Linked DNA regions of Lonchura striata. The protein of the gene in region 1 interacts with the protein of each later gene in a pairwise test. Links are inferred from orthologs where the notes say so. Each region holds a gene or a part of one and is shown in the gene's direction. Other genes may lie near its edges.

What was found.
Region 2: the proteins of SPG21 (region 1) and CTPS2 interact in binary tests that used the Homo sapiens proteins (3 or more experiments, as listed by UniProt). The two-hybrid records come from large-scale screens. The link is inferred for Lonchura striata from reciprocal best matches to the Homo sapiens genes SPG21 and CTPS2.
Region 3: the proteins of SPG21 (region 1) and PRPS1 interact in binary tests that used the Homo sapiens proteins (3 or more experiments, as listed by UniProt). The two-hybrid records come from large-scale screens. The link is inferred for Lonchura striata from reciprocal best matches to the Homo sapiens genes SPG21 and PRPS1.
Region 4: the proteins of SPG21 (region 1) and S100B interact in binary tests that used the Homo sapiens proteins (3 or more experiments, as listed by UniProt). The two-hybrid records come from large-scale screens. The link is inferred for Lonchura striata from reciprocal best matches to the Homo sapiens genes SPG21 and S100B.

Annotation. Positions count from the first base shown.
Region 1 is NC_134613.1:21,912,235-21,920,590, reverse strand, and holds the start of SPG21 (maspardin), read left to right. Parts: upstream 1-5,247; 5' UTR 5,248-5,339; intron 5,340-8,126; 5' UTR 8,127-8,157; coding exon 8,158-8,220; intron 8,221-8,356. Other genes in the region: CLPX (ATP-dependent clpX-like chaperone, mitochondrial), read right to left, coding at 436-596, 4,087-4,156. UniProt on the Homo sapiens protein: May play a role as a negative regulatory factor in CD4-dependent T-cell activation.
Region 2 is NC_134604.1:100,639,689-100,647,481, reverse strand, and holds the start of CTPS2 (CTP synthase 2), read left to right. Parts: upstream 1-4,621; 5' UTR 4,622-4,765; intron 4,766-4,862; exon of another isoform or gene 4,863-5,114; intron 5,115-6,199; 5' UTR 6,200-6,221; coding exon 6,222-6,405; intron 6,406-7,752; coding exon 7,753-7,793. Other genes in the region: SYAP1 (synapse-associated protein 1), read right to left, coding at 994-1,112, 4,208-4,415. UniProt on the Homo sapiens protein: Catalyzes the ATP-dependent amination of UTP to CTP with either L-glutamine or ammonia as the source of nitrogen. Constitutes the rate-limiting enzyme in the synthesis of cytosine nucleotides.
Region 3 is NC_134616.1:18,597,018-18,605,063, forward strand, and holds the start of PRPS1 (ribose-phosphate pyrophosphokinase 1), read left to right. Parts: upstream 1-4,699; 5' UTR 4,700-4,821; coding exon 4,822-4,943; intron 4,944-7,075; coding exon 7,076-7,259; intron 7,260-7,610; coding exon 7,611-7,709; intron 7,710-8,046. UniProt on the Homo sapiens protein: Catalyzes the synthesis of phosphoribosylpyrophosphate (PRPP) that is essential for nucleotide synthesis.
Region 4 is NC_134610.1:33,263,825-33,271,561, reverse strand, and holds S100B (protein S100-B), read left to right. Parts: upstream 1-4,668; 5' UTR 4,669-4,744; intron 4,745-5,595; 5' UTR 5,596-5,610; coding exon 5,611-5,748; intron 5,749-6,212; coding exon 6,213-6,353; 3' UTR 6,354-7,152; downstream 7,153-7,737. Other genes in the region: LSS (lanosterol synthase), read right to left, coding at 179-287, 366-444. UniProt on the Homo sapiens protein: Small zinc- and- and calcium-binding protein that is highly expressed in astrocytes and constitutes one of the most abundant soluble proteins in brain.

The DNA of each region.
Region 1 (8,356 bases):
AGACTACAACTGACTAACAAGAAGTGAGCTCATGTCCTCACTGTCTTGTCTTACTTAAGACAAACCAGTTCTAAACCCAGAAGCATTTAAAATATACTTCAACTTGGAAGCACCAGCCTTCTGAAGGAGAATAGCTCTGATTACTACTCTTTCCTGAAATCCTGTTCTTGATTTATGACATTCAATAAAGTTTTCAAGTTTACACTGAACAAAAAGAGCTATAAAACTGGGAAAAGCATTGTGGGATGTTTACAAGCTTTATCTCCTAAAAAATTCCCAATACAGTTTATTTTTTCTTCACTGCCAGTTGCATCAATTTGAAGGACTAGAAATGTCAGGAGTTGGCCAAAATTTCAAGATTAATTTTAAGCAAAAAATAGAAATGCAAGGAACATTTTACATAAACTACTGAAACCCCCAGTGTGTGGAAATTACCTTGCTTCCATCTCCAGAACCATCCTTGCTTGCACCATCCTTTGAAGCAAAATATGCTGGTGTTTCTGAAAAGTTTCTAAGAGGAATTCGTTTTAGAGAACAAGTTTCAAAAGTCCCAAGTTTTCCTAAAACAGGGATGCGTGTACGACCACAAGTAATACCTAAAAAAAAAAAAAAAAAAAAAAAAAAAGAAAAAAATGTAAATACTAAAATACTCCTGTTTTAATGCCATTGCCACCAAATCTCAGAACTGATTTACTTTAAGTGCAGCTTAAAGATTTTGGCAACAGAATTCAGCTCTGAACATACAGATTTTAATTATCCAAAATAGATGATCTTTACCACCTTAATGTTTACCTTGTTGAAAGTTACTTTGGTTGTCCAAAAAAGACCCCAAAATAATTTCAGGTCCTCTAACATCAGACAACTGAGAGTCCTGTTGTGGCATGAAATAGGGAACATCTCAGTTATGAAACTGATCCTCAGAATGATAACCACAATCGACTTACAGCTTCTATTGTGAAATAATTCAACTCCCCGAGAGAAACTTTTGAAGAGTCTCTTTATTATGCAAAGATTAGGTGTTTCAGACTCAATGACTGCACGTCTGGATTTGGCTTTCACTTGGGAACTCCATTAAAAATTAGTTTCCAGGAATTTGAGGCACCTCTTGGCACCAAGAATTGTGCTGAGGAAAACTGAGCAGCCGTGTCCCATTTGGCACTCACCGACGGCCGGCACCGGCAAGCTCAGCGTAATCTTAACTTTGCTAAAATATTTTATTGCCAATATGAAAAAAACCCTCACTGAGAAACTAAACAGCCTTTTCCTCCTCTTGCAACACGGGCAGGATTGCATTTCATGGCAGGGCATGACGTGAGCCAACCTATGTTGTGCTTGTGATTTCAACATCAACAACAGCCTGGAATCTGTATCTCATCTCTCGCATTTCAAGTGGCAAATTTCTCACTTGGCTCGCTGGTTTTGATCAGGACTCTGTGCTCTACTGACAGCAGAGCTATAGAGCAACAATGGCAACTACAGACTTGCTGACAACACATAGTTATAAGGATAAGAGAATCCTATGGAAAAATCCAGAAACTCTTCAAAAATAAAAAAGAAAAATTAGGAATGGCAAGAGAAGCACAGCTCATTTGCTCTGAAAGAAGAAGCAACAACCAAGAGATGGGAGCTTAGCTGAAAGAGGATACTCTGAAAATTCACCTTGTTACTATAATAAGAAGGGAGAAAAATAAAGAAGAAGGAACTTAATTTACCAGGAAAACTCTTACAGGCCTCTTCAAAGTCACAATAAAGATGACAGTCAAATGAGATTTGAAGCTGGTTTATTAACTTACATGCTGCTTAAGATTCCTTAACCTGAAGATGACTTGTACTATTTTTAACATGACTAAAAATTAACCTTTTAAAAATCTCTTTACAGCATTGCTTCTGTCTGTAAACGTGAGGGAGGAATAACAATCAATGAGCTTCCCCATTTTAAATTCCTCTGCTGAGTGCCATTGCAACACATTTTAGATTACAGAGGGTAAGCTATAAAAACAACACAGAAAACTTGAAAACACTGGCTGGCTCTCAGAAGCAGTTGTATTTTTTAACTGAATGTGCAGAGAACTCTGACAACTCTGTGTGCCAAGTGCACTTGTCAGTAAAGAACAAGCTTTGGTGAGTGTTTACAATGCAATAGTTGTTCTGAGCAGCTTAGAAACTGAGAAAAGACCCCTTAAAAATGAAACAATGACCACCTCTCCTCCCTGGAACAAAACCTAGAGTCACACAAGTAACACGGGGGGATTTGACCTGTGGAGAAAGGCTGAAGCACTAACACAAAAGCTGAAACATTTCAGTCCTCATTTTAATTCAGAATGCTCTTGTGAGACAGAAAATGCACTGAGAACTGTATGGGATGAACTATGAAACCTTACACAGCACTGACTACTGAGCTGTGAAGCCTAAACCAGGGGAAAAACATCCTAATACTGCTACGTCAGCTGGTGGCTAAGCGTGTGCTTATTGTGAGGTCTGAGAGGTGTTTTTGGACAAAATATCATGGTATAATTCCACAGTGAAGCAATAAGAAAGTTATCACCACTACTTCCTTGAGTCAATAAGCCCAGAGGGAGATTTCCAAGGGAAATCAACATTCCAGCTCAATGCCTGGCAGCTGCTGCTGATGGATCCAGACTCTGATAAATGTTCCAGTATGTAACAGCTGGCAGGATGTGCTTACACACCTGGCAGGGTGGCTCAGGTGATGTTTTTTTTTCGGAGCACCAACTTCAAAAGATTTGTCCCTGGCAGCCATGGAACCAATCCAGGCGCATTAAGAAATGATGGGAAGCTCCTTAACACCTTATTAACCTTTAATTGATGCTTGACAGAATAAATACTGACTTTTGGGGCAAGCCTGGGGGATCCTGGAGGTATCTACTGCTCAGGAAAGTGACAGGGAAATTGTGACAAACTGTAACTGTCCCACATAACACTCGATTGATTTCACTGATCTGTGCACTCTGAACTCTCTCAAGTTTGCAGCAACCAGCAACAGCAAACAAAGCACCTGGCAGAAGACAAGATTTAATACAAATTTAATATGAAAGACACACTAAAGTAAGATACATTTATTTTTAAACAACTTTCATTGAAAGCTGGTGGTTAAATAATTGTATAGCTCTATCTACATTTTATTCTTATTTGCTCTTTTACATAATCCTTTTGAATCTTAGTTCTGACCAAAAAACCCCTCAAACTTAACAAAAGATAATTCTGTAATGAATTTCAAACAGTGCTTGCTTTGAAGCTGATTGTTTCAGAGGGATTGCGTAGGGCCAGACAGGCTGGATTTGAAAGTACAGGTTAGAACATTTCAGCACGGCTGGTATTCGAGATATAAATGTAAAGTCACCTACAAAGAGTTAACTCGCCTCTTAAGGGCAGTAAACGATCTCTGACTCACCAGGCTATTGCTGAGGGTAGAGTGATTGAAAATATTGTTGCAAAAGTGGCAACAAAGATGTTTTTCAGCACTATTTGGGGGTGCCCTGCTTTCCACCCAAAGCAGCACATTGTTTGTCTGCTCTCAGCACCCCCAAGAATACAAAAAAAAGGGTAAACAAGGAAAAACAGTAAAAAAATAACCTCCCACAGCCCTCAACTTCCAGCGAGCAGCTGGCACAGTCTTGTCCTTCTACCAAGTTGAAAATAATTAATTTTGCTAACTAAACGCATTTTTATGAGAAATATTTCAAGTTTAGGCTACCACACAGGTAGGCTTTTAATTAAGTAAGGCAATTAAGCCATTTTTAAGCCCATGAAACACATTTACTCCCACTGCAGAGTAACACACACTGGCCGACAGCTGCCGAGCATCACTTCTGTAGAAATAAACCCTATTTTCGCATCCCACTTCCCCACAGCGAGGGCGAATTCTCCGATACTTCACAGCGCGTAAGGCTGCCCTCACCCCCACCCGCACCGCACCAGCAACCGGCAAAAAGGAGGGAAAAAGGGGGGAAAGGCCGCCGTGCCCGGCGCTGTCACAGCGCGATAAGGGCAGCGGCGGGGCCGGGCTCCCTCAGGGCCGAGCGCGCCGGGCCCGCTGAGGGAAGGCGGCGGCCGGAGCGCGGTTACCTCTGCGGGCGGAGGGCAGCGTGGAGCCGAACAGGCGGGCGGCGGCGGCGCAGCTGTGGCAGGCGGACATGGTGCAGCGGCCGCGGGCCCGGCCGGCTCCCCCCGCCGCCGACAAGGCCTCGCTGGCGACGGTGCGGCCCCGCCCGCCCCGGTAACGCCTCCGTGACGGCACCGCGCGTCACCGAGGGACTGCAGATCCCAGCGGGCATCGCGCCGCGGCGCGCCCCGCGGGAACGCACTCGCCTCGCGGGGTGGCATGGGAAGTGTAGTCCCAACAGTGAATGGGTGCGTGGGCGCCGCGTGGCATTGCGGGAAATGTAGTCTGCGATCGGCAGCGCCCCCCCCGGCTCTCTCGGTCTGTCCTGGGCACACCGTCCAGGTATGTTTATTCCCGGTGGTTCCGCCCTTTAATTCCTCTTTCCAAATACGATACGAGAGGAATATTTCCCTTAGATCACAGAAATGTGTTTTTTTTAAAGCCTTTCGTGAAAAGATCAGGCTGAGACAGGAGCAAAAAAACTTCAGGCAAACTGAAGCGATTTTGAGAGCGAATGGAAAATGATGCCGTGTGTTGTGGGGCGGTCTTCAATCAGGGAAGAGTATTGTAAAAATACATATTATCTAATTAAGTGTATTCTTTAGGCACGCCTTTGATATATATATAGATATATATAGGTATATATAAGGCATATACACACACCTTATATATACCTATAACTGCAGACAACTGTAGGTCTGTTTCTTTCAGCTCACCTTCAACTCCTATTTATTAGATAGCAATTAAACGGGGCTACTTGACTCCAGCTGTTCATTAGAGGAATGACTCGGTATCACCTGTCGCTCTTCTCAATTAACCTGAGCTGCCCCGCAGCGAACAGATTGCCGGGGAAGCTGCGGCCCATCCCTGGAAGTGTTCAAGAACAGGTTAGACGGGGCTCGGAGCAACGTGATCTGGTAGTCCCTGATCGTGGGCGGGGGGTTGGAACAAAACGACTCTTAAAAACTCCCTTCCAAGGCGAATCATTCCCTGAGTTAACGCGGCTTCCGCCTCGGTAGCGATGGCGGCGGAGCCGCTTCCGCCCCGCCCCGGTCACGTGGGCGGCACGGCGCAGCACCCGGAAGCGGCGGCCGGCGGGAGCTCCCGGCGGGGCGGGACAGCGGCGGCGGCCGCTGGCAGCTCCCGGTGCCGCTGGCAGCTCCCGGTGCCGCTGCTGCTCCCGGTGCCGCTCCTCGTCCCCGGGCCCGGCCAGCCGGTGAGCGCCCCGCAGCCATGGGAGAGGCGGGGGTCCCCGGGCCTGCCGCCGAGCTTAGCGCCCCGCACCGAGCAGGGAGCTCTGAGGGGCCGCGTGGGCGCTGAGGCGAGCGGGGCGGCCCCTGAGGGAGGGAGGGAGGGATGGGCGAGGGTCGGGACGCGGCCCCGCAGGGAGCCCGAAGCCCCCGGGGCCCCGTTTGCTGGGGGGTCTCTCAGGGGAAGGGGCTGCCTCAGCCTGTGCTGAGGGTGTGGGGGTTTGTCCCCTTCTCCCTGCAAAGCTGGGGAGCCAAACGTGGTTGAGGAGGGGGAAGGAGCAGGGGCAGGGTTGGTGGGAGCAGCGCTGGGGCAGAGGGGAAGGTGCTGCCGCCGCATCAGTTAGCCATAAATCTTCTTATGGTCTTGTAAAATCAATAATGAATGGAGTATGTCATTAGTGTAGTGAAATTACTCACAGAGAGACTATTACCAAATGCTCTGAGCACGTCCATAGGTGATTCTTCCAGAGGAATTGTTTTTAAAAGCTTGAAGTTCTTCAGGTTGTTTGGTTTTACGAAAAATGAAACTTGTGTGTTTAGAGGCTGATCATGACCAACATCAGGCTCTTTGTGGTCTGAGTTACCTTCAGTAGCTGAATTCCTGTTTTGAGTTCATGGTTCAGCTTCTCTGTGGCTGGAAATCACATGTAGCTGTTGTTAATGTCAGTTATTTGTGTGTACAAATTTAATGCTGCATTTCTGTGCAAAGGAGAAAAAAAAAACCATTTCAGTAAGAGAACAAACAAGTTTCTTCTTGTGTGGAAAGAAAGGCAGCCCTTAGGAGTGGTGATCTCAGATGCTCCTTCAGAAGAAAGCTGGTGGCAATCAGCCCTGGTGTTAGTGGCCAGTGGCTCACTTCCATGAGTGGTAACAAGTGAACAGGGAAGTTCAAAATTTGCGTTTTGGATGGACTCTAAACTCGCTGTGGTACCAGACAAGGTACAGGGCCAGCACAAAATCCACCTGCACGCTGCCTTTTCCTTATCAGCTGTAATGGCACAGCTCTGTGCTCCCTGCCCCCAGCCATTCGCTCAAGGGTGCTGCAAGACTGAGGTGGCACAAGCAGCGAGGTGATCCCGGCAGGAAGAGGCTGCCAACCCTCTGCAGCAGGAAGAGTCTCCCTCTCCAGCGTGCGGGGCCCTGACCAGGACTTCTGCTTCTTGGTCCAGGGCAAGAGAATGTGTGTTTTAAGGCATTTCCTGCAATTTGTCTGCCATAATTTTGTCACACTGTCGTTTGCTGAAGAGCTTTTAGGAGGCCATTGATGTGTGGTTACAGAAAGGAATTAGTGTGAGCCGTGGTTTCCTCGCTCCAATGGCTGCAGGCCCCCAGCCCAGGAAAGCATCCTTGCACCTGCTCTGCTTTGCAGGTTATTGGAATAAATTCATTTTACCCTTGCTGCAATTTTACCTGCTGCCAGACTTTGATAGTGAGCAGAACAGTTGGTGCAAGCAGCAAAGTGAAACCACACAAATTTGAAATAACAGCCACAGCTGAACAACCCATCTCAAACCTTTGTACATGGGAGGTGTAGCACGTGCTCTGTGGAAGGTGTGTGTTTGTCCTGTAGTTTAGAAAGTATTTTCCCTTTTAAAATTAATATTTTCTTCACTTGGAAGATGGCAAATGTAGACTGAAAGATGAGGAAATTGTAACTCACTGATAATCCAGCTGTAACCCCATAAACTGGTTAAGCTGTTCACCAGCAGCTCTCCTGCAGGGACAAATGAATTGGAGTGACTCACAGAACACAACGAGGTCTTATTTTATGAAGAATTAAGAAACAAAACCTATTGATTTAGACTTGGCAACTGTTAAATAACAAGCGCAAAAGTTTCTTTTTGTCTTTTCACGGTGCTGTGTGTGAATTCATGAAAATAATCTCCCAAGGCAGCTGGCTTTCAGGGTGAAGCTATTGAGTCTGCAAACTTCAGAAGTGTTTGATGACATTTGTTGTATAAATGGAAGCTAATGGTTTCTTGCTGCTTAAAAAAAAAACCCAAACAATTAAATCTTGGAGCTACGTCAGTGTTTATTACTAATTAATGGAGTATTATAAGATACTCATTATGTATGCTTGGACATTCTGGCTGGGGAATGAATTAGTAGCATTCCTATGTGGACCCAACTCAGAATCAATTTGTGCTGTATTAATTGGTGTGCTTCAAGTATTTCTTCATTGGTAACTCCTGACAAGAGCCTGCTTCCATGTGGATAGAATTAAAATTTCAAGGATTTTCTGTAAATTAAGCCTCGGATCAGGTGATGTTCCTGATGTGCTCTGGGACTCGTTTGGATCAGTTATACTCAGATGGAAAAACGAGACCTGAATACTGAGTGGGTTCATGAAATAATGTCTGTGGTGTGAATTCCTGAGTGAATTGTATGAATATTTATTAGCTATAAACTTGGAGTGCCTTATCAATTTAAAAGAAACCAAGAACATGCTTTAGGTTTTTTAGCCACTTACAGCCTGAAACACAATTGACTTTCTCTGCAGCTGTCACACGGGAATGCTTCTACAGAAACATCATCATTTCATAATTAGGTTGGTGCAGTAAGGCAGTCAGGTGACTGCCTCCTGGGAGAATAATTGCATGGTTTGAGCAAAAGTGAACTTGGTGTGAGTCAGAGGTAGTGCCATCAACTGATAAGAGCAAATCAGCCTGCACTGCTTTATTTACATAGCACAGCTTTTGAGAGTGGCCCACGGTGAAACTGTGCTATTGATTTCTCATTCTCTCTCTTTTCAGGCTGACCCAAACTGAGATTTTTCTAAACATCATGGGAGAGATTAAAGTCTCTCCTGACTATAACTGGTTCAGAAGCACAGTTCCTCTTAAAAAGGTATGTACATCTTGTAGGTGAAATATCCTCTCATGTTTTAGGGGGAGAGACTCAATGTGATTAATGCAGAGCAGTTGTGGCTGTGCTGCTGAGCTGCTTTATCTCCTGAACTGTTGTCCCACATGTCATGTGAGTG
Region 2 (7,793 bases), on another chromosome or scaffold:
AAATAGATCTCTGCTATTATTATATAGACAACTGCCTATGAAATATGAAGACAATCTAAAAATGTAAACTGTGATTATAACAGAAATTAATTTGATGGAAGACAACATGAACACTAATTATATCAAGAAGTAGGATTCTGTTGTATTAAAAAGATAAGCAGGCAATGCTGTAGTTCCCCAGAAGGGATGTCTGAGACAGGAGCAGGAAAAGGGTGTGTCAGACATTCCTGGATGTACAGTCCCACTACTGCTGGGATGGTTTTGATTGGTCCCCTTTCCCTTCCTTTCCCAGATCGCTCAATAGCAACCACAGAACACTTAATGGCACTTATTCTTTTTTAGTTCTTTTCCTTCTGCCAGGTTTGTGGCTTAAAGCACTGGAAGAACACTTGCTGGCCCAAGTTAAGCAACTGGAGCTGACAGACAGGAACAGAGGGTAAGAACTACGGGGCAGGGTCAGGGTGGGGAAAAGAACAAGTAACAAGGTGTTTCATTAGCTCACTGGTTCTTAGGGAACTGTACCTGTATACCCCTAGAGTCCTCGGATACAATATGTACAATACCAAGCTAAATCTGACTTCTGCACAGAGGTGCCTATAAGATGCAAGCTACCTCATTCGTTTTTCAAACTAAATAAACCATGGGGCAAAAAGAAACCAGTCCCCAACTGCCTGTCTCAAATTCTTTCAGCCCTTCCACCTACATTGGCATTTTTCATATTTCCTTCTGGTATTTCTCCAGTCTATCAACATCCTGAGGGAACTGAACAAACACAGGTGCAGCACTGAGAAAAGCAGGGTGACCGTTTTTTGGAAACTCTACCATGAATAAACATTTCAGTCACGTCATTCATCATGACAAGAGATGCAGAGTATCTTGAAAGACATATCTGAAGACAGTTTAAAGAAATGTTATCAAATGCCGGATTTGCCACATGTTGTAACAATGGCAAGCAAACAGATCTTTCAGATCAAGTGTCTAGAAATAAATTACCTTATCGATGATACTGTCAATTTTTCCTTCTTCTACAGACTTCTTTATTGTCTGTGCTGTTTCAGCAACAGACTCAGATATCTTTTTTGTAGCAGCAGAGGCAAAATTGAAGAGGTAACCTTTCACAGACAAAAAAGAAAACAAAGACCTGAGAATAGATTTCTTTACATCCAGTTCTCTTTCTACATTTATTTTACCTTCTCTTTAGACGTTTGGATACCTACTTAAAAGTTTCTTTCAAAATAACTTAACCCAGCTTGTGGCCTACAAAAAACTCCTAAAATTCTATTTATCTTTTTCTAGTTTGCATTATTTAATGATGATGATTACAACTTTCTGCAAACCAAATATTTATACACAAACCTTGTTTACTAAATCAAAAATTGCTAATGGTCCTTGAAATACTTCTTTCCAATGACTTTTCTGAAGCAATGTCTTTCCCTATTTCATATAAGTGTTTTGGAGACATTAAGCCATAAAGTAACTTAGCTACAGTATTAAAACAGATTTTTTTTTTTTAAGAAAATCAACATGCAGAATAAAGTCTTATAAACTGAGGCAGCAAATACATTAAAAATTTCAGGCAGGTAACACCTCCTTTAAAAGTCTTCACATAGAAGCATGCCCTTGATGTTGCCCTTATCTATTTTGCATTATCTTCCTCTCTTTAGGAAAAGAAAAGCACTGTGGTCCTGTTCACTCATTTTTCTGAGCCATATTTTCTGAAAACAGTTTCAGAACGGCAATGAAGAATATTCTCAAAGATTCACATTCTTTTTGTTAACAGTGCTGAAGAGAGGTGGCAGGGAAAGAACTGCATACACATAGCATGGCCATCTGCACCATATTATTCTATTTTAAATAAGGAGAACAAATGTGCAAGAAGCATCTTGCAAGAAGCAAGATGTATGTAATAAACCTTCAGAAACATCAAGTACCAGCTTACAGACAAGATTTGAAAACATTGGTACTATTTCTCAGATAGCATGATGTCAGAAGCACTTAATATACCTGAATGACTGCATTTCACTGCAGTACCTCAGTTCCAGTACATACACTGTGTCAGTGCCATGGTAAATAAAATACTTGCAGAGAGATCTAGATAGATTGGAACATCTGGGCAAACATCAATGGCATGAAATTTAACAAGAAGAAATGCTGGATTCTGCATGTGGGATGAGTGTAAATTGAGGGAGGAGTGTCTGGAGAGCAGCCCTGCAGAAAGGGACCTTGGAGTACTGCTTGGTAGTCAGCTCAATAGAAGTCACATATTTATACATAGAGTTATGCAGAATCACCTTTGCCTTTTATACAGGAGTTGTCAAAAAAATCAACCAACACAAAAAAAACCCACCAAATCCCAGCACTTCAGTTTCAAACAAATGACCACCCTCCTTCTCAAGGACTCTCAAAAAATACTATTTCCCTATGGGTTAGAAATGTAAAAAATAATCTTATAATGAAAAAAAAAATAAAAATTAACACATGGTTGTTAGCCCGTGGTAGAACGAGTTAGTTTGGAACACTGATGTCACTTCTTGGAAAGCTGACTATTCTCTGGGTTGGATAAAATGTTCTCTTGTAATGATATCACAAATCAATACCAAAATATGCAGAGGTCTAGCCAAGCCCTAAGACAATTTTTTATGTGTAACTTTTTTTATCTGTAACAAGTCACAGAATGGTGGTAACCAAACATCCTTCAAGTACTTACTAGCATCTTTTATACCCATTATCAAGCTTTATAACCCACCACATGATTCAGGAGTAAAAAAAGGTTAAGTTCTATATTTTAGACATAGACAAATACATTATTCCTCTTATGAGAGCAAACAGCAACCTACTGGACTGCTTACTCCCCACCAGCTTTTATTGGTTGTTTCATGTATCCCTGGAACCTCTCCTGTATGCAACAGTTCTAGGTGCAAAATGTGCAGAGACATTTGCTGTCTGGTGACATTCTGGCATTATTGCATAAAGTGGTTTTGGCCAGTCCTGAAACTGCTGAAGAGCAAAAAGCTTTTTATTTATAAAACTGCAGAAAAGGTGGTACTTAGCCTTAGAAAAACAGAATTTGTGGTGGAAAATAACACTTTCAAATGACCAAAAAACTCATCTTCCATCTCACAAGTGTATGCTTATATTAAGAATATGTATCTAGCAATACTTCTATTATTCACACTGGCAAAATGCTCATAATTTCTGTAATGGCATGATAATGAGCAAAAATCATGTCTATAAGGCTTCTGCTTTACCACTAAAATTCTTTATCTGCCAGGAGATTCTTTTTACACAGCTACCCAGATTGTTGTCCATGCAGAGGTTTCTAGGATTATGTGTTAAAACAGCAAGAAAGCCTTTCCACCGTAATCTATTCTGGTGTCACAGACAATGGACCCATTGAACACTAAATCAAATTTTCATTTACAGAGCAAATTATGGAATGGATCTTTATATAGATAACAGTCAATACCTATTTTTCCTCTGAAACTCAAATTCCTTTTTCCTTCCTGAACAGTTTGCAGATTAGAATAATCAGAGTCAGCAGCAGGTTAGTATCAATTTACCACAACTAGACAGGTATTTGAGCACACTACACAGACTAAACTGCTGCAATTCTGGTTGCTCAAGACAATGCACAGTACAGAATCAGCTCAAATCATACTGATCCAGAATTTCAGAGCATCAATTAAAAAAAAAACCAAAACCCAAACCCCTTCCTTAAAACAAAACTTTAGTAATTAGAGTATAGGTCTATACTATGGATTAATTATATCCAAGAACTCACTACAGCAATGCAGGAATTCTACTTATAGCAAATTACAGCTTCACCCATCCCTGGCAGCGTTCAGGGCCAGGCTGGATGGAGCTTTAAGCCTGGCCCAGCAGGCACAGCAGGGGGGTTGGAATGATATTATCTTCAAGGTCCTTTCTAACCCAAACCATTCTGTGATTCCAAGACATGTTCAACAAAACCATCAAGCACCATTATTTTCCTATGAAAAGAACACAAACGCCTACAGTGCAATGGAAGTACATTATTCTACGTAGACAGATCTGTACACACAGACCTCCTCCCACAGTGCCAACAGAACAGATACTTAAGAAACGCTGCTCCTTTAGAAACAGCTCTGAAAGAAGCGACAACGAAAGGCCCTTCGCAGCCTTGATTCCTTAGCTCATATCTGAAAGCCGGCGGCCCCGGCACACTCACTGCCGAATCCCTTGGCCTGGCTGAGCAGCGCCTCCGAGTCCCCCTGCAGCTCGCCCCGCTCCTGCCCGGCCGGCGCTGCCTCCTCCTCCTCCTCCTCCTCGCCGCGGTCCTGCTGCTGCTCCGCGGGGCCGCTGCCGCGGCCGGCGGGCAGCAGCGCCTCCTCGCCGGCGCGCTGCAGCCCCAGCCAGCTGCCCAGGCCGCGCAACATGGCTGCGGGGCGGCGGCCGCGCTGCGCCGGCCCGGCGCCGCTGCGGAACCGCGGGCGGCCGCTGCCGCCGCTTCCGCGAGCGCCACTTCCGCCGCCAGGGGCGGAGCGGGGCCCGGGCGGAGCGGGGCCCGGGCGGAGCGGGCCGGCGGCACCTGCCGCGCCGCGGCTGGCCCGGAGGGGTGGCCCGGAGGGGTGGTGCCGGCCGCTGTGCGCCCTGCTCGCCCGCCCCGCTCGGAGGCGCGGTGCCTGCGGGCGCTGTGTCCCCCCGGCCCGCCGGCGGTGCGCTCGGGCTCGGCGCTCCTGCTCTGCGCTGCCGGGCTGCGGTGGGAGCAGCCGCCTTTAGCAGCTCCGTAAGTCTGAGGCCTCTCCCCGCTCGGCCGCAGCGCCCCGAGCGCTCCCGCGGCGCGGCACGTTTGGGGTGCGGCGCCCGCAAATCCCTGCTGGAGGCGGCAGCTCCTGTAGATAAGGCTGGACGGAGTAATTCGTGTGCCACTTGTCCGCAAAAAGATTTCTTCCAGTATTCGCTTTCAGCGCTCCCTCCCCTAACTCTATTTCCTTCATCTTTTACAAGTGACTTGCAGTTGTACTTGCAGAGACCCTGCAGTTCTCTGTACCTATTTCAAGTAAACACGTTTCCTGAAGCTGCTGGGATAACGCCGTTTTTGCTCAAATCACAGCAAACTTTTCATTTTGGTTTCTGTAAGCAAGATTTAAGAATTATAAAGTGGCATGTACGCAAGATTTATCCTGTTGTTGAAATTATCCCCTTTGTTTTCCTTAAAAAAGCTTTGAAAATGACAGATGTTTTATGATGTTAGTGTTGACAGCTAAATTGGCTGAGTTCTGAAGGAATAGCCTGAAACAGAGGTAGGATAGCCTGTAACAGAGGGTCCAAGTCTTAAAATCTGTGCTGTTAAAAGAATTACATATTAAATGGCAGGGAAAAATTAATCCCTGGTGTTCCTTTTTCTTCTGAGTTAAATGCATTTAATGGTTATGGTCGTCTTTTGGATCATATCGACAAGCAAATAGTTTATTAATTCCTATTACCAGAAATGTAAGAGCATTGATAACATGCCTTGTTCCATTTCTGAACTCAGTCTCCTGAAGATCTAATAAAAAAACATTATTTATGTTACTTTAATAAAAAGAAGAATTTAAATGTTCATTGGGTATCTACTGCTTCATACCAGCAGCTGAATTGCTTTGATTTATACTGAGGACCGTTAGAACTAAGTGCTGTTGCTTGTTGTTTTGGATGAATTGGATATTTAAATAAGGAAGGGTTTTCTTGGCCCTAGAGTTCTTGCTTTAGGTAAGCCATGCTGTCACTATTCAGTGATTAGCCTCCACAGCCACCTGAATGGAATTGAATTCATTTACAGATGAGATACGTGTCATCCTGCTTCAGATGGGTGGAAAAATGCAGCTTGTATCTGATCAACACCGGTGCCTTTGTTTGCTAAAGTGTATAAATAGTAAAAAGTTTTTGAAATCCTTTTATGGATTTGCTACTCAGCACCCCTTTCAGTCTAGAACGGCAAATTAATACCTCAGCTCTGTGTGTTGATCAGCCTCATCAGGACCTAGGATAGGGACAAGACTGGTTATCTTATATAGTGGTGTATAACTTGGGAGAGATGAGTCCTGCTCCCAGATTCCAGAATGGTAATTTTTATTGTATGTTGCTGAAGGTCATTTCCATTTAGATCTTTACAGATTGAGTGTGTGATCTTCCCAGACATGAATTTACATTCATCAGATGTACATCTTTGTTGTTTTAGATTTCCAGCTCAAGGTCTGTGCATGTGTGCTGATTTTCCAATGAAGTACATCCTGGTAACTGGTGGTGTCATTTCGGGCATTGGCAAAGGGATCATTGCAAGCAGCATTGGCACCATTCTGAAGTCCTGTGGTCTACGTGTCACTGCAATCAAAATTGATCCTTACATAAACATAGATGCTGGAACCTTTTCACCATATGAACATGGTATGAAGATAAGTGTTATTCTCTTACACGTAAACATTTGTATTTATAAGAATGTGATTTTTTTTTAACCAATAGTATGGTGTTTACAACCTGTTTTATCATTATTTTGAAAGTTTATTGCTTACTCTGTGTTCTCAAGGACACTGTCTGCTCTAAGTTAAGAAACAGAAGCCTGTTTTTTTGAAGATACTGTTATGAGCAGATGCTTCCTTTCTATAAAATACCACTTTACTAGGAAAATCCTAGCTGCATGACTTGTTCAGTTAATGCTGTCTTCAGTTCAACTTGATTAAAACCCCTTTATAAATAGTGCTATGAAACTTACTTGTAATTTTAAGTCCTTAAGAGTTACTTGAGAATGCTGTTCTGTGGGTATCAGTGCCTTCTGATATAAGTGCTTTCATTAGAGTTGCCTTAATTTCTCGTTTTAGTAAAAAAATCTAGCCAAAAACATTAGTGAAGCTTAGAGAACCTAAATTTATTGAATTGGAGTGCTGTGCTTTGATGGGATATACATTTCTGTTGTCCACATTTTATTTTCTGCATTAGTAATGTAACTTGTTTTGCCATTGATTTATTGGGTCATGACAAAACATATACAGTTTTTCTGAAGAGCTTTCCAGGCTTACCTCAAGATCTGGTAACTTGAGTTCTGTCAGAAGTTGACTAGATTCAGAATTTAGAGACACTTTAGAGGGCTGAGAAAAGGGTATTAAATACCTGAAGGGTATTTAAGTGGATTTTTCAGGGTCAGAAATAACCCTTTCTGTGGACATGGTGAACCAAATATACTGAAACAACTGACTCCGAAATGGTGATTACGTTTGAAGAAGCAGTTTTGTTCATCATAACTTTACTTCTGATCAAAGCCTCAATCATTAAACTAGATCCAATCAACAAGAATTTATATGAAATACTTTGAATATGTATAATAATTCCTGCTTATGAAAGCATGGTTTTTCTCTCCTGCAAGTAAATTAATATTTTATTTGTTGCTGATTTACGATTCCTAGAGGTTGTTTTCTTTCAGTGAAGGATTATTCTGCTGTTGAAATGCTATTTAAATATTTATGTTACTTCAATATTTTGGCAATGTAACTTACATTTTATTTGCAAAACTATATGTATCTGAGAGATGGATATTAGATGTAAAACTGACTTAGATATTAAGTCATACAGAATGACTATTCAAATTGGGTTGCAGTATGGACTTTACTGTTGTGTCGTTGTCATATATAATTTAATTTTCTTTCTTCTGTTTTAAGATGTCTGTGGTATTCCTGCTGTATGCTTAATAATTTCTGATTATTTTGTTGTTTTTCTGTCTGTTTTGCTTTCTTTTTTCAGGTGAAGTTTTTGTATTAAATGACGGTGGAGAAGTTGACTTA
Region 3 (8,046 bases), on another chromosome or scaffold:
GAGCTGACAGTCAAATGGAAGTGAGCAATGTCCAAATTTTATCCTCATTTAAAGCACAGTGTCTGGATTCCTGTGTGAAATATCCTAACAAATTCCTCACGTGGGCAGTCACAGTGGGGCTGGGCAGGACACCTATGGCTTTCTGTGCACATGGGAGAAGTCTGCCAGGGAGCACAGTCATCTCAGCCTATTTACAGCACCCAAACATGCCTAATATACACCAAAACAGTCTGCACACTTGATAGGAAATTTTTCCAGAGGTTTTTCTGTCATGTTATGTAATTCCATGTCAGGGCATGAGCAGACACCTCATCCCACTGCAGCTGCTGCAAAGCCTCCCAGGCCAGCTGAGACAGTGCCCCTGGCTGTCACCTGTCCCCCACACACAGAACGGATGGAGCAGGGTTTCTGCAGCTGGAATATTAAAGTTATTAAAAGGCAAACACACCATGCCCAAAGTGGCAGAAATTCCAGTGCTGCCCCTCTAAGGTTTGCTGCCAGTGCCAAGAGCTGGTGAGAAGATGAAAGGGCTGGGGACATGCTCGAGGTCAGGACATTTTAAATGCTTTACTAAATCCCACTTTCGAAAAGCATCTTGGAAATACTCCTAAATCTAACCTCTTCCTAAAATCCTAAATCTACACCTCTTCCTAAGGCAAGATGGCTCATTCCTCATATTTTACCTGGGCTCCTTAGGAAGGCACAATAAAAACGCTGAGTGGAAAGATCAGGAACACAAAGGGAACTAGTCAGGATCCTTTAAAAACGATCTCCAAGTCTGTATTGGTTCCAGTGAAGACTTGACAATACCATTTATTTCCCAGAATTTTAGCTTTTTCCCGATAAAAGGTGAGCTTTTCCTTGCTGGGTGTGGTCCAGCAATGTCCTGTGTAACTCTGGGAATATTTACAGTGCTAAGGGTGAGCACCATTCCTAAACTTTCTCCACCAGCCTCTCCTCTCCTTCTGCTCTCATGTCAGTCTACCACCCCTTTTTGGCATCAGCTTTTTAACCTCTACTTTTCAGCCTTCCAACCTTTTTGGTATTTTTTTAATCTCAGCCTCTACTTTTCTATCCATCCTCCCACTCCTTCTCTACTTTACTTTTTTTTGAGGTCCAGCTCCTACTTTCAGCCGCCGAGGCAAAAGGGCAGAGGCCGGTGTTATTTCCATCAAGTGCCACTCATTAACAGAACCGGCTGTGAGGCACTGAAGTCACAAGGCAACAAAAAGAAATAACAACCCTCAGCCACAGACTTTTTTGTATGAAAATGTGCTCTTGATTAACTGCTGGTGGTAATTGAGTGGCAATTGTATGCAGGAAAGTGCCAGGAGGGGGACAAAGGCTCTTGTCTTGATTGGCATTGCCATCAAATTTGATGCTGTTAATGTGCTGCTTGAAACTTCCTGGGAAATTCATTCTCAGCTTATGACACACAGAGGTATTTCTGATTAATTGCACCTCCTTATAATCAGGTAAGTAAAATAGTTGGACGGTAATTTAATTCGCAATTTACAGAACTTGATGGAACAGAGCACCTCAGGCCATAAGCTTGTCCTTTCTGCTTGCCCAGGCCAGCTTGTGCTTGTCCGTACTGTAAAGCACAGGAAAACCAAATAAAATCCTTTTGATTGAAAGGAAATAATTCAATTTGTTGTATTTTGCTTTCAGAATGAGGCTTACCAGCTGCAACGAGGTGCTTTAATTCTGAATAAGAGCATCCACACAAGAGATGAGACACTCCAAAACACTTTCATGATCTCTGATCATTTCCCTGAGCATCCTTTGAATATCCTGACAGAAATCCTGACTCCCAAGCCAGTGCGAATTTGGTTTTCAATGGATGCAACCACACAATCTCTCCTTTCATCCCAAGAACCAGATAAACCTCTCACTCTTCAAAGCTGCTTCTCCTTGTCCCTGCATGGCAAAGCACACTGCTCGTAGACAAGCTGTGGCTGAGGAACCTCCTGAGCGAGTTTTTGCTTTGTTTAACTTAGACTTTGGTGCCTTAAGAGCTTCTCCTTAAGCAAATCTCTGAGGTTATCCTGTTCCAAGAGCTCAGTGAGCTGTTAGTGGAGGTGGACTTTTGTCCTCAGGAACAAAGCCTGACTAATCTACAAAGGCACGGTGGAGGCTGAAATACTGAGGGAAGCAGGTGGGTGTGAAAACACACCTGGCCGCCAGCTCAGAAAGGGAAAAAAAGTATTTTACACATAACAGGTTGCTAGTTCCTGGGTTTAGGATTAAGGATTTAATTCCCTTTTTTTTGGGTCAGATTTTTCACTCCTCCAAATTCCATCTCTGTGATGCCAGGAGGAACATGACAGGAAAGCTTCTTCTAAAGTCCTGCAGAGGGAAGCCCAGGCAGGGCTCATCAGTGAGAGGCATAATTTGGGTGTTTAAATATACCCCCTGCTGCCTTCGGCCTCAGAGTCCCAGTGCCTGGTCCACAAATAAACGTAGATGTTTCTGTTTTCTGTTCCTGGGATGTTGGAGCACAGAAAACTCTCATTCTGTATTCAATTAAATGGAATTTAAAACGAGAGTGGAGCAAATACTTCAAAACCAAGGCGTGCCCCAGATCAAAGGCCTGGAGTCAGCAGTGAATGGCTGCAGTGCTGTGGGTCTGGGGCAAAAATGTGTCTGCTGGAAATTTGGGAGGTATCTTCAATTCCCATCACTTGAACCATGAGGTAGCCACTCTCCAGTGAAATTTTCTTCACTGCTAAGATTAATTTTGTTTGTTAAGATGAGTAATGATTAGCAACAAATTAGAAGCAAAGGGCTATGTTCTTCCTTCCCCATTCCCTGGATTTGTTGTCTGTCACAGCATCTCAAAATTCCTACAGCTACACCAGAAAATAATCAAAATTACCAATATTAATATTCCACTTCCATCAATGCCAAGCATGGGAATTGATTATCTACTTTATGCAGATGAATTCCAAATTTAATGACACTGTACAAAGTGTTATAGAAAACCTCCTCCAAGCATGGTATTGTAGTCAGTAATTTATGGGTCTTTGGGGGGGATAGTGGCAGCAGCACTTGGGGCCAGGAGAGTTTTAAGAAAATAAAGAAAACATGTCCAGACCCACACCCCCTTTTGACTGTGAATGATTTCTTCTAGTTGAATTCTCAAGGACTTGAAGCAAATCAAATTCACTGCAGAAGTTTATTGTCTCTCAGAAATTCAGGTAATATGATTAGGAATTACAAAATTGAATGAAAATTCTGAAAAAGCTGTCTGTGGCTTTTTTTTCTTTTTCCTTAATATTTACATAAATGTGTCAATCTTCCTCCTTCACTTTCTGGGAAAAATAACAAGCACGGGCAGGGAGCGCAGAGTCACTGGCTTGGTGTCATCATTGCCCTGGACTTGCTTGTTGTTGTATGTCTGATAGAAACACAGAAATGTGAGTAATTATCAATTCCTGCACTTTCTGTGACGAACCACAGGGCTTTTTTATTTTGAGGGGATTTATAATATATAAAAACTAAACTGTGAGTGTCATTTCCTTCAAAGCAGTGAAAGGTAATTTGAGATAATTAAGGCTTAGAAAAAGGACATTAACAACCAGAGACTGGATCAGAAATTTAGAAATTTAGAACCACTATAAAAATCACATTAGCGGAATTCTTGGGGGTGTCCTGTGCAGGGCCATGAGTCAGGAGTTTGTGATTCCCTCACAACCCAGGATATTCTATGATTACATTATTTCCAGGTTTAAAGATTAAAAACCCTTAAGCACAATGTTTCATTTCGCTAAGGAGAAATAAATAAGCATAATGCAGTCACATACAAACGGCTAAGTCACAGAAGACTGATTTAGTGTTAGCCCATAGTTAGTTACATAGGTAATTATATATAAGATAGATACACACACATGCATGTATCTATATGTGTATCAGTATGTAATTTGGCACAGAATGGGGTACACAATCCCGATCATAAAGGTGAAAACCGCTCGGGAATGAATCGGCCTGTTAGAGCAGCCCCCGCGGCCGCAGCCGCGACCCGAATCGCAAGAGCCGCTGAAGGGCAGGGCGGGCGCGGGGCTCGGCGCTGCCGCGCGGGCCCGCCGCCGCCCGCTGTCAGCCGGTACCGCCTCACACGCGGCCCGCGGTGACGCCAGCTCCGCGCAGCCGAGGGGGACGGCGGGGGACGGCGGCGGCGGGCGCGGGCAGGCCGGCATGCTGAGGTAACGGCGCGGCGGCGCGGCGGGGCCCGGCGGCGGCGGGAGAGGGGCGGAGCGGGGCGGGGGCGCGGGCGCGGCGCGGCCGGGCCGCAGCGGGGCCGCCGCCGCTCCCGCCCCGGCGCGCGGCCGCCATCATGGCCGCCGGGCCGGCTGCTCCGGCCGCGGCCGCGCGGGACAGGGCCGGCCGCGCGCTCCTGCCGCCGCCGCCGCCCTGGCCAATCGCAGCCCAGGCCGCCGCACAGCGACCAATCGCGGGCCGCCTCCTGCCCTAGGTCCCGCCCCCGGCGGGAGGCTGAGCTCGCCTCCCTTCGTCCTCAAGGGGAAGGAGACGCACCAAGCCACGCCCACTCCTGCTTCGCCCGTTGGCGGAACCACGCCCCTGAGGTATATCAGCCAATGAGAAGCGAGTGGGGGCGTGTCCTAGGGGCGGAGAGGCTATAAAGGGTCGTCGCAGTAGGCGGGAAAGGGTAAGATGGCGGCGTAGAGGGGATCGGTGTGACCTGTGCCCACCGTGCCGCGTCCTCGCAGGAGGCGGGCGGGTCCCCGCGCGGCAGCCGCGGCCGCTGCGTGGCGGAGCGACGAGGAGGAGGAGGAGAAAAAGGGTGCCGCAGCCGCCGCCATGCCCAACATCAAGATCTTCAGCGGTAGCTCGCACCAGGACTTGTCCCAGAAGATCGCCGACCGTTTGGGCCTGGAGCTGGGCAAGGTGGTCACCAAGAAGTTCAGCAACCAGGAGACATGGTGAGGCGAGGCGGGGCGGGGCGCGGTCGCACTACAGCTCCCGGCGGGCCGCGCGGCGCTGCGGCGCTCGGTGCCGCGCGGCCTCCGCGAGGGGGATGATGGGGGCTGTAGTTCGGGGGCGTGCGGTCGGGCCCGGCTGCAGAGACGCGGAGCTGCGCTCGGAGGCATCCCCGGAGCGCTCCCGCCGGACCCCTGCTGCCCCGGAGCCCGCGGGTGCACCGCGCGTCCCCTCGGCCGGACCCGGCTCTCGGTGCCGGCCCGGAGCCACGCGCGGCCCGGGCCGTGCCTCCAGCGGGCCCCACGCGCGCTGCCCCCGCCGCCCTTGGGCCGTCCCCAGCGCCCGGGGCCGCGCGGGGCTCCGGGGCGTGCAGGGTTTGTGTGAGCGGGCCCATGTGGCGAGCGTTGGAGCGGTGCAGTTCGCCATCCCATTCCCCATTCCCCCTCCATCCCAGCGCCGCGAGCCGATGGGATGGCGCATCTCGGAGTTACACCTACACTGATTAGGCTTTTTCATGCTTAAATCTTAACTCTGATGACTCGAGGCTTCGTAACTTTGTGCTTAGCACGTAGTTGGTAACTTTAAACTTCTCTGAGGAGCTTCACAGTCTTAGAAGGTGTCAATAGAATTCTTAAGGAAAGTGGCTCACACCTCCGTGTATCCCACGGTGCATTTGCAGTCACGCAGTCTGTGTCCCTCCAGCTTTGAGACCTAACATTCGCTTTGTTTTATGTATCTGTGCTTTAAGAATCTTGCTGCCATCCTGTGTAAAGCTAAAAAGGTTTAAAGTTGTTCAGAGCTCCTTAAGCTTGTCTTAGAGAATATACTAACCGTGTATACACCACAAAGTGTAATGCAAAGAACCTTGATTGCTCCAACCCACTCCTTCTGGAAGCAGAATTTTTTTTTCCCACAAAAATCCAGGATGTACATGTGACGTACGATATCATGTGCCTCTTGCCATGGGTATTGTTTGTGAAACCTCAGAGGTAGTACAGAGAGGTGTAGAGGAGTTACAAAAAGTTCTATTTGATTTACAGCCCTGGCACTGTTCTCTTTGTTCTTTATTAACTACTCTTACCCATCTAGCTGGCTGCCCAGCAGGTTCCTATGTCAGCAGGTAATACGACTTGAAGACTTAAAAAGCATCTTACTTACCCTAATAAACTGGCAGCAGGTGGTTCCCCAGAAGAGAAAGACTGTTTCAACAGAATAATTCATAGAGTTTTTTGTACCATAAATATCTTAAATCACCCTAATATTGAAGATGACACTTATGTGCCAACTGCTGATAATCACAGTTCCCCAGCAGAGAGTTCTCTTTGGCAGAAACTCTACACAAGAGATGGATGCATCCTGTAAGTCAGTGGGCAGTAAAGATGGCAGCAACTTGCTGATGGATATTGAGCAGTAAGAATAGAAATATATAACAGTCGTCAAAAAAAGTTTGAAGAGATCAGAAAGGTGAGAGAAGGAAATATTTGAGTTAGAACTCTACCCTGAGGGGCTCTGTAAATGAAGTGGCTTCTTTCCCACTCTTTCTGGCTCAGGTGTGTCCATACGTGCACTGGAGCTGGCATTTGCTGCTGGCAAACAGGACCTTTGGCTTGTGTTCAGGCCCTTCATCAGCAGGGATTAGTGTGCACTGCACCCAGGAGAAAATTAACCCCAGAGGCCTTTCCAGAGTGAAAGGCTGGAGTGCTTCTCTGCTGGAGCCACTGCATGGCTGCTATGAGTCTCAATCTGATAATTAGCTGCAGTGTTGCTTTGGTAGCAGTTTGACTTGCCATGATCCTTGCTGCTTTGTACACTGCTGCTTTTAGAGGTGCCTGTGCTTGTGATTCCAGGGGAACAAGGCCTGCTCTGGGCTGTTTACATGCTCAGCTTGTGTTGAGATAGAGTACATGCAGAGTGCTTTTAGCTTTACTGGCTAGACCATTAAATCTGATGAGTGAGAGCTGTAAAACAGCCACTGAGCAAATAAACAGCAGTGTTCCTGCTCAACAGCCTCGATTATCTGGCACTGTCACCCACAGACCTTTGGGGATGTAGTGCCTGGGTTGCTCTGCAGGCACAGGTACTGCCTGTGCTTTGATTTGTGTTTGGCTACAACTGTCTTCTCATCTGTTCCCAGTGTGGAAATAGGAGAGAGTGTCCGTGGGGAGGACGTCTACATTGTGCAGAGTGGCTGTGGGGAAATCAATGACAATCTGATGGAGCTCCTCATCATGATAAATGCCTGTAAGATTGCCTCAGCCAGCAGAGTCACAGCTGTCATCCCCTGCTTCCCTTATGCCCGGCAGGACAAAAAGGACAAGGTAAGGGATGTGGTAAAGGTTTTTGCAGGGAATGCACACCTTGAAAGTCCTGACTGCTGGAGAGGATTTAAATGAAGTTTTGTCGCCTTCTCTGAATATCCAACCTCTGTTCAGTTCATTAAACTTGGGGACATTGGACTGCAAAATGATCTTTTCATAAAGATATAGTTCTTCTTGAAAATAAACTGAAGTCTAATCACTAGCTGATGAGAAGATGCAATGTTAATGAGTGCTCCTTTTAGTAACTGCTTGTGAATCACTGCCTGGAAGCAGAAGGCTGGCATCTTGATGAAGGAGTTGAACTTGTCTTATACTGTTTTGTTTTGTTTTTTTTTTTTTTTCCTGTACAAGAGTCGAGCTCCAATCTCTGCCAAGTTGGTTGCAAACATGCTGTCTGTGGCAGGTGCAGATCACATAATCACCATGGACCTGCATGCATCTCAGATTCAGGTAGGAGCAAAAATCTGGAAGGCACTTAACCAGTTCCAGTCTGAGCCTCTTGCCTGCTTTGCAAGCTTTCCAGTCATTGCTTTTTTGAGATACTGCAGTGATGGAGATGTGGGAGTTTGGGACTGGAGGGGCAGGGGGGTAACAGGTTAACCTGTAAGTGAACGTACAGTTGTTCTTCATCAGACTGAGTGTGCTGAGTCTTGTGTAAATGAACTAGTAAGTGATCAGTACGTCTTTGTTGCCACACAGTGACACTGTTTATTCTTCATTAGACCTTATGTGTCACTCCAGTGTGAGATGGAGATTGTCTTTAAATTCTGAGCAGAGCTTTGTGATA
Region 4 (7,737 bases), on another chromosome or scaffold:
ATGCTATGGACGCCTCTGTGACAAACAGTGTACGTGGAGTGCTGCGCAAGCAAGTCCAACCACCCACAGCTATCACAGGTAGCGAGTCCCCCTCCCTGAGCCTGGGCAGACCTGACAGCAGCTCCAAGTTCTACACCTTGGAGCTACCATCACTCAAAGAAGCATCTTTGGTACTCACAAGCCCCAGCCTCCGTCCGGGAGCTGCACAGAGCGCAGGTAGCGTACCATCTCCTTCCGGAACCCCTCGGGCAGCTGGATTTTGGCCGTGTGGCAGGTGATGAGGAGACCTGGAGGACCAGAGAGGCCGGCACTGTAGAGAGCCGAACCCCAGGGCACCCACTCCTGGGAGGGGTGTCCAGGTCTACCTGGCAGCAGGAACAGCGGCCCGCCGTAGTCGCCCGCCCAGTGCCCATCCTCGGCCTGCAGCGCTGCGTAGAACCGCATCCCGTTGCGGGCCGCCTCCCGGGCCGAGCCGGCCGCCGGCAGCGGCTGCAGCGTCGCGCCCTGTGGGGAGACAGGGGCAGCTCAGCGCTGCGCCCCGGGCACGGCCCCGCCGCCCCGGCCCGGGCCCCCCGCACCGTGTCCAGCCCGAGGCTGTGCTGCTCCAGCGCCGTCTGCGCTCGCCGCTCCCCGGCATCGCCTTCGCCATCGCCCAGGTAGCGCCAGAGCTGCCGCCCGCCCTCGCAGCGCAGCCGCCAGTCCGGCAGCTCCGTGGCCGCCGCCGAGCGCCAAGGGCCGCCGCGCCGCCGAACCGCCCTGCCGGACACGGGCACCGTGAGCCGCGGCCGCCACCGCCGGGACCCACACACCGCCCCCGCTCTCCATCGCGCCGCCGGCACTCACACGCCGTCCGCCGCCATCGCCGCCCCGACCCCGCCGCCGGCTGGTCCCACATCGCCTCACGGGCGGCAGCCAATGGCGGCGCCCGGCCCGCCCCGTCTCCTCCCGGCCCGGCCCGCCCCGTCTCCTCCCGGCCCGCCCCATCTCCTCCCGCCCGCCCCATCTCCGCCCGGCCCGCCCCGTCTCCTCCCGGCCCTCCCGTCACGGGACAGCCCCGGCAAGCTGCTGGGGCTGCGCCCCTCCGTCGCACATCTGCCCCTGGCACAGGAGTGCCATCCCTTCCACAGACGCCGACAGCCGAGCTGTCCCTTTGGGTGACAGCGCCAGCCCCTAGAGCGACTGTATCCCCCTCCGTGCACCCCCAAAGTCCAGGCGTGCGGTTTCCGTCGTTAATGGAAGTAACAAAACAACTCCGGCCCAGCCTGGTGCCCAGCTCATGTGGGCCACGAGGGACTGGGGAGATGTGTCGGGGTGCAGTGCCAGCCCTGGCACAGCGCACCCTGACCCGCGTGTGCCCACGCTAAACTGGAAGAAAAGCCGTTCCATGTCTGTGCACTGCCCAGAGACAAAAGAGCTACTCACAAATGTTGCACCCATCAACACCCCAGGACAGAAAAATGCCTGTCTATTAATACTTACATATCATTAATACTTACAGTATATAATGCACACTATGAGCTTAATTCAAAATACTCCTCTTCTAGCAAACAGGTCTTCACTCACATCCAAAATAACATCAGGGATTATCTGCAAAGGATGCAATGATTTTATTTGATAATTAAATAATTAATATTGTATTTATTTCATAAACTAGGATTAGGTCACTCAGTTCAGCCCTGGCTGTGTTCAGTAAGAGCAAAATGTTTTTTGGATAGTGCTGGACTTTTCCTGGAGGGAGAATGAATGGGGATAATACATTTGACTTGTGTATCATCCCACTGGTCCTCAGCAGGGAGAGCTGTGCTGCTTCTCTAGCAGTTTATATGAACAGAGAGAACTAGAAGTTCACTGACATGGTTGTTCTATTTGAGGCTTAATAGTCTGTTTATTTTTGGTTTAAAAAAAAAAAAACCTGTCATAATGACTCTGCCCGAAACGAGTTTAATGAAAGTATCCACTTGTCCATGGATGCCAAAATCTTAAGATAATTTATGGTAATATTTGCCTAAGGGGAGTGATGGAGGATGAACAACTTAGTTTTACTTTTCTGTCTCTATACAACCCACCTGCACCAAAAATTTTTAATAATTGCCAAATTCCTGTTATTTAGACCTTGTTTTCATCCACGTTTTTCTGTGTCTGAACCTCATCTGGATTCTGCCAGGAGGTAGCTCACCTCTGGCTGCTGTGTTTGTAGGTGCCAGGGAACCTGCTCCCTGCAAAGCTGCTGTGTGTGCTGGCACTGTGAGTGCAGCCCTGCAGAGGCACAGGCAATTTCTTCACCCTCCCACCCAAATTCCTCTGCTTTCATTACTTTTTTTGTCCCAGTTCAATGACCACTGGCATTTGTCTCATGGTCTGGCAGAGCCTGGCGCCACACACACCCGAGAGACAAAGAAATAGGCTGTCTTTTCTCCTGGTATGAGGAGCCCACATTGTGAGGAGACAGGCAGAGGGCTGAAGTGTTTTGCTCAGCTTTGGGCACTGAAAAACCCTCTTGCTTCTTTAAACACATCAGCCCAAAACTCTGGCGAGGAAGCTCTGACCCTGAGGAAAGAAGCCCCAAGGTTGCACCTGCCTATTCGAAGATCAGAACATGAATTTTAGAATAACAGAAGCTACTCTTTGGGCAGCAGTGAAAGCACCACTCACAGCCCCATACTCATATCCAGACCTCCTGGACTGTCCCAGGCTGGGTTAGGGATGATCCAGGCCAGGAAAACAGCCTTTACAAAGGATATTAGGCCAGATAAAAATCAGGAAAGTCTCTTGGAGCTGCTCATTAGCAGAAGTAGAAGAGGGTCAAGGTTTCTGGTGTTCACATCTGATCCTGCTGCTCCTTCCCACCCTATCAGGACATAATTCCAGATCATCACCTGTAAAATATAGAAGTCGGAATGATTTGGGGAGAAATGGCAGCAAGAATCACCAGGAAAGAGAATTTTAAGATTGTTCAAGTTTTGATCTGTCAAATGCTACTTTTTCTGTTCCATTTTAAGGAAAGGTCACTTTACAGAATGACATCAGAATATGGTTTAAGGAGATGATCTAGGACCTTGTCTCTGACTAGAAAAGGTTTGCTTTAATGCATTTCTTGGCTGAGGACTGAGCTAGAGATCTACCGGATCAAATTTCTATCAACAGAAAAATGCTGTCTCTTTCCTGCTGACAGAGAGCCCCATTTATAGCCAGCTCTTACAGGAATGCAAGTACTCCTGGAAAAAATCAAATAGTGCAAAAATTGCTGACAAAATACCTCCACACTAGAAACACCACTACCTAAAAGCATCCCTGCTGTCCCTGCTAGCCCCACCAGAGCACAGATAACTGTTGTCGTTTGCAATACCCTAAATGCAAGAATTTCAGTGGTCATGTAAATATTTAGTCAACAAATTCAACCTTAATGCTGGAGAAATTATTTTTCCCCAAATCAATTTGAGCCTGTTAGAAAAACTTTTATGAACTGATGTAAGGAAATTATCAATGTAGATGTTTTTGGGAGATTTTTTTTGGGGGGGTTGTTGTTGTTGTTGTTTTGGGGTTTTTTTGATTGTTGGTTTTTTTTTTTCAAGTAACAAAGTCAGTGTCATAGATCAGTAGATTTGGGAAAACTGCCAGGGAATATGTCTGTCCAGCAACAGGGTTTATATAAAAGTGCATTTAATGCCAGTTCATGGTGGCTGCTGGGGCTGGCAGGGGACTTCTGAACAAGTTTTATATCAAGATCCCATTTAAAAGTAAATAAAGAATTTAGGTTTGAGATAACTTTTTAAAGTTTCTAAAAAGACATTTTTTTTTCCTAGTGTGAATCAGTATACAAACAATAACTCATATTTTTCTGAGTTCTGCATGTTGATTTACACATCCCTTCACAGAATTGGTTCAAAACATTTGCAGTTTCACCTGTCTCTGGTGTTAGGTGGCTATTTCTTTAATATTTCAATATTTATTGAACAATACACACAAAAAAGTATAAGTTTTATGCTCACACTGACTGCAAAATGTATGCTTTCACTCCCATGGTATAAATGGCTTTGCACAAGAAGCAAGGCTTTCAGTTTGACAAAGCATTTTATTGGTGGTATGTTTGGTGAAGCAGAGCGAATTGAAATAACCTTATTTTCCCTGTCTGGCCTGACTCTACAATCTTAAAACAGTAGAAAGCAGAAAAAGGGTGTTCAATATTAATAGTGTGCTCCCAATGACCTGTAGTAAACATAGATGTACAAAGAATTGCTATTTTTGCATACTCACTGTTCAGAGCAGAACAGAGCATTCACATCTTTGAATCGCAAGCTTGATTCACATTCTGTGCATTGAAAGACCGATCTAATGAACAGAGAGTAGGCATTCTATATTTGAAAAATATGAACAAATAAATGGCACCATAATAGATTTATTTGTAATGTGTAACAACTGGGTCTAGGGATAATCTCCAAGTGCTTCTTTAAACAAAAAAAAGCTTACTGCAATACATTTTGAAACCGGATATATCCCTATATACGTGTCACTTAGAAAAATTGGCTGATTGCAACTATGCCCCTTACCCCTTCAGAAAACAAAGCGGGCGGCTTTGCAGCAGGCGGGCGGCTCCGCGGGGCGGGCGGGCGGCTCCGCGGGGCGGGCGGCTCCGCGGGGCGGGCGCAGCGCCCCGCCCCTGCCCCGCGGCCATAAGAAGCGGCGGGTCCCCGCGGCGCCCGGCCACGCCGCATCGCCGTGCCGCAGCCCCGCCGGCCGCGGGGAGGTGAGAGGGGCCGCGGGACGCCGGGTGGGTGTCGGCAGGGCAGAACCACCGCTCCACGTACCTCCGATCTGGAGCGCTGCTCAACCTTGCGGACGGCAAGCAGGCAGGGCTGGAGCATGAAAAGGGGATTTTTGTTCGGGTATTTGCTGCCGTGTCTGGTAACTGCTAAGTGGGGGAGGACATCGGCTGTGGGATCAGACTCAGAAGCGTGTGGTGGAGAAACAGTAGCCAGGTCGCAGGGCAGGAGATATTTACCGATGGGATATGAACGAAATGAGTGCCAGGCAATAGGGCTTCTTTATTTTCCCGGCTTTTGGGAAGGTGGGTTGGCAGCTCTCCCTCTTTGATCAGTGTCTCTTTGGTTTGCCCGTTTGTGAAATCTGCAGGGAACGCTGCAATCTGAATTGCTATCATATCCCAAGAGGGTCTTCAGATCAAATATGGGAGAGTGACGTGCTCATTTTGACCTGCTGGCAGTCATCAAAACTGGTTCCTACCGGGTTCCCCTGACTGCTGGGCTGGAGACAGGTCTGCAGGCAGAGGCAAGGCGAGGGGACCTGTGACAGCAGGGACAGCAAAACCATTCTGAAGCCCCAGAGCAGACCCCATGCCTTCTCCTCTCCTGTCTTGTGGCTCTGCTGTTTTCGAGAGCCCCTAGCAGCAGAGTTATGGTCTCTTGTGACCTTCCCCCCGAAGCCAGGGCTGCTGCCAGAGCTTCCCAGCTCTCCCTTGAACGAGGGTCTGACCTTGCTGATCCACGGGCGGAGCCCCAGGGTGGCCGTGCTTCCAAATCCATCGGAATTGCTGGAGCTTGCCCAGGCTGGCGCTCCCAGCGTCCCCTCTGACCGCAGGGCCACGCCACGACCATGTCCGAGCTGGAGAAGGCGATGATCGCCATCATCGATGCCTTCCACCAGTACTCCGGGAAGGAGGGAGACAAGCACAAGCTGAAGAAATCGGAGCTGAAGGAGCTCATCAACAACGAGCTGACCCATTTCCTCGGGGTAAGTACTGCCCTCCCCACAGCCTGGCTGGGCTCAGGGGCCATCCAACAGCCCCTGCACTCCCCTAACTCTGTCTCCCACGGGAAGCCTGCACAGGCAAAGACATTTATTTACACAGCAGGGCATTGAATCCTTTGTCCCAGCTCTACAGAGCAGCAAGATGAGGGGAACAGCCTATATGACAGACTGAGGTGTGGGCTGGACTAGGAAAACTACCTTCCCTGACACGGGGGACAGCCTTGCCCCAAGGGGTTCAAGATGTCACTTCCCAGCACAACAGCTGTAGCTGCAATTCCCTGGGGCACAGGACAACGCCCCACATAGACTGGGAACATCCACAAAATATCTGGGATGTGTCTGAACAGAGATTCAGCCATGAGAGCACTTGGGAAATGGGCACACATTACTGTCTGGGCCTCGCTGTGGTCCTCCTCAGCTTTGGCTGCCTGTTTCTATCCCTTCAGGAAATCAAAGACCAGGAGACTGTGGACAAAGTCATGGAGGCACTGGACTGCGATGGGGATGCAGAGTGCGACTTCCAGGAGTTCGTGGCCTTTATTGCAATGGTCACTGCTGCTTGCCATGAGTTCTTTGAGCATGAGTGAACTGGTGGGAAGCAGGTGAGCCCCTTCTGCTCATGCTGGAGAGAGGCAAGGCAGCATTGCTCCTCCGGGAGAAGGACTGGCTGTGATTACAGACACCTTAGAGTTCAGCTTGCACTAGACTTAAGCAGCTTATTAAAAGTGTTGTGGCTTTGTGAACAAAACCCACTTGTGTGGCTCAGGAAAGGCTATTTATTGGCTAGTGCCCATTGGGCTGGATGCAGTGAGAGAGTGCCTTGCCTCAAGCTCCTTCCCTGCTGTTTTAAGTCAGGAATTTGCATGGGCTAGAAGCAGAGGGATGCTGTGATCCAAGCTTGTGTGCAAAGGAAAAAAAGGAAATTCAAGGGTTGAAGGAAGAGATGATGCAGAGGGGCTGGTTTTGGAAACTTGCTGCCCAGCCCACTGGCCTGAATGGGAAAGCTCCCAGTGACTCCTGTGAGCTCTAGGCATGGCATCAGAAACCAGCTCCTGTCCCATCACAGGTGCTCAGCAGAGCCCACCTATTTCTTGGTACATTGAGACACCCTTGGCTTGCAAGGCAAAGCGTAACAATCTAAAAGCATAACCATCTGACAGCTCAGGCTTTTCACTTATTGATCAACCCTGCTTTTAGCAGCCAGCAGAACTGGAAGCAACAGCATATGAGGCTCCTGCACTGGGGTCAGCTCCTGGGCCTGGGATATGCCTTGACAAGGTGTCCAGGCTCAATCAGAGGGGAAGTGGGAGTGGCCCAGTGTGACCTCAGACCAGGCACAGCCTCCTGAGTGTGTGGAAATGACAAGGAATAAAACATTGGTTTGGCCTCTGGTGAAAAACGTGTCCTTTTGTGCCAGGCTGCTCTGCACTGAGAGAGAAAGGCTGGGGGATAAGGCCTGAAGCACTGCTACAGCTCATCCCCCTGAGGTTCTTGTTGGGCATTGACCCCTCATCTCTTCCCTGGTGTCACTGTAACTGGCCAGACAACCCAGGATTGTCACCAGCACTGTGTTCCAGCTGGCTGCCCATTCTGCCAGGTCTTCGGGGACATAGGGACAAGGGCCCTCTGCAGGATGTGACTGCTGCTACCAGGGTCATCCAGGGGTTTGCAGTGGTGAGCCCTTGCAAAGGCTCAGCTAAACCCAGGACAACCCCCAAAAAGCCTATGCTTCTGCCTCTCCAGTCTGCACCTGCCATCCAGCTCAGCAATACCTGGCAGCTGGGCCTTCCTGGCCTGCAGCACCAACAGTGGCAGATGCACAGCTAAGATGCTCTCAGATGGTACTGGTTTTACCTCATTCCACATACTAGAATGATTTTATGCACAAAATGACATCTTTGGACAGGGACCATCTTGGTATTCTCACCAGCCTCCCCCAAGCTGTGCAAGGGGATGCTCAGGCAGAGCTGG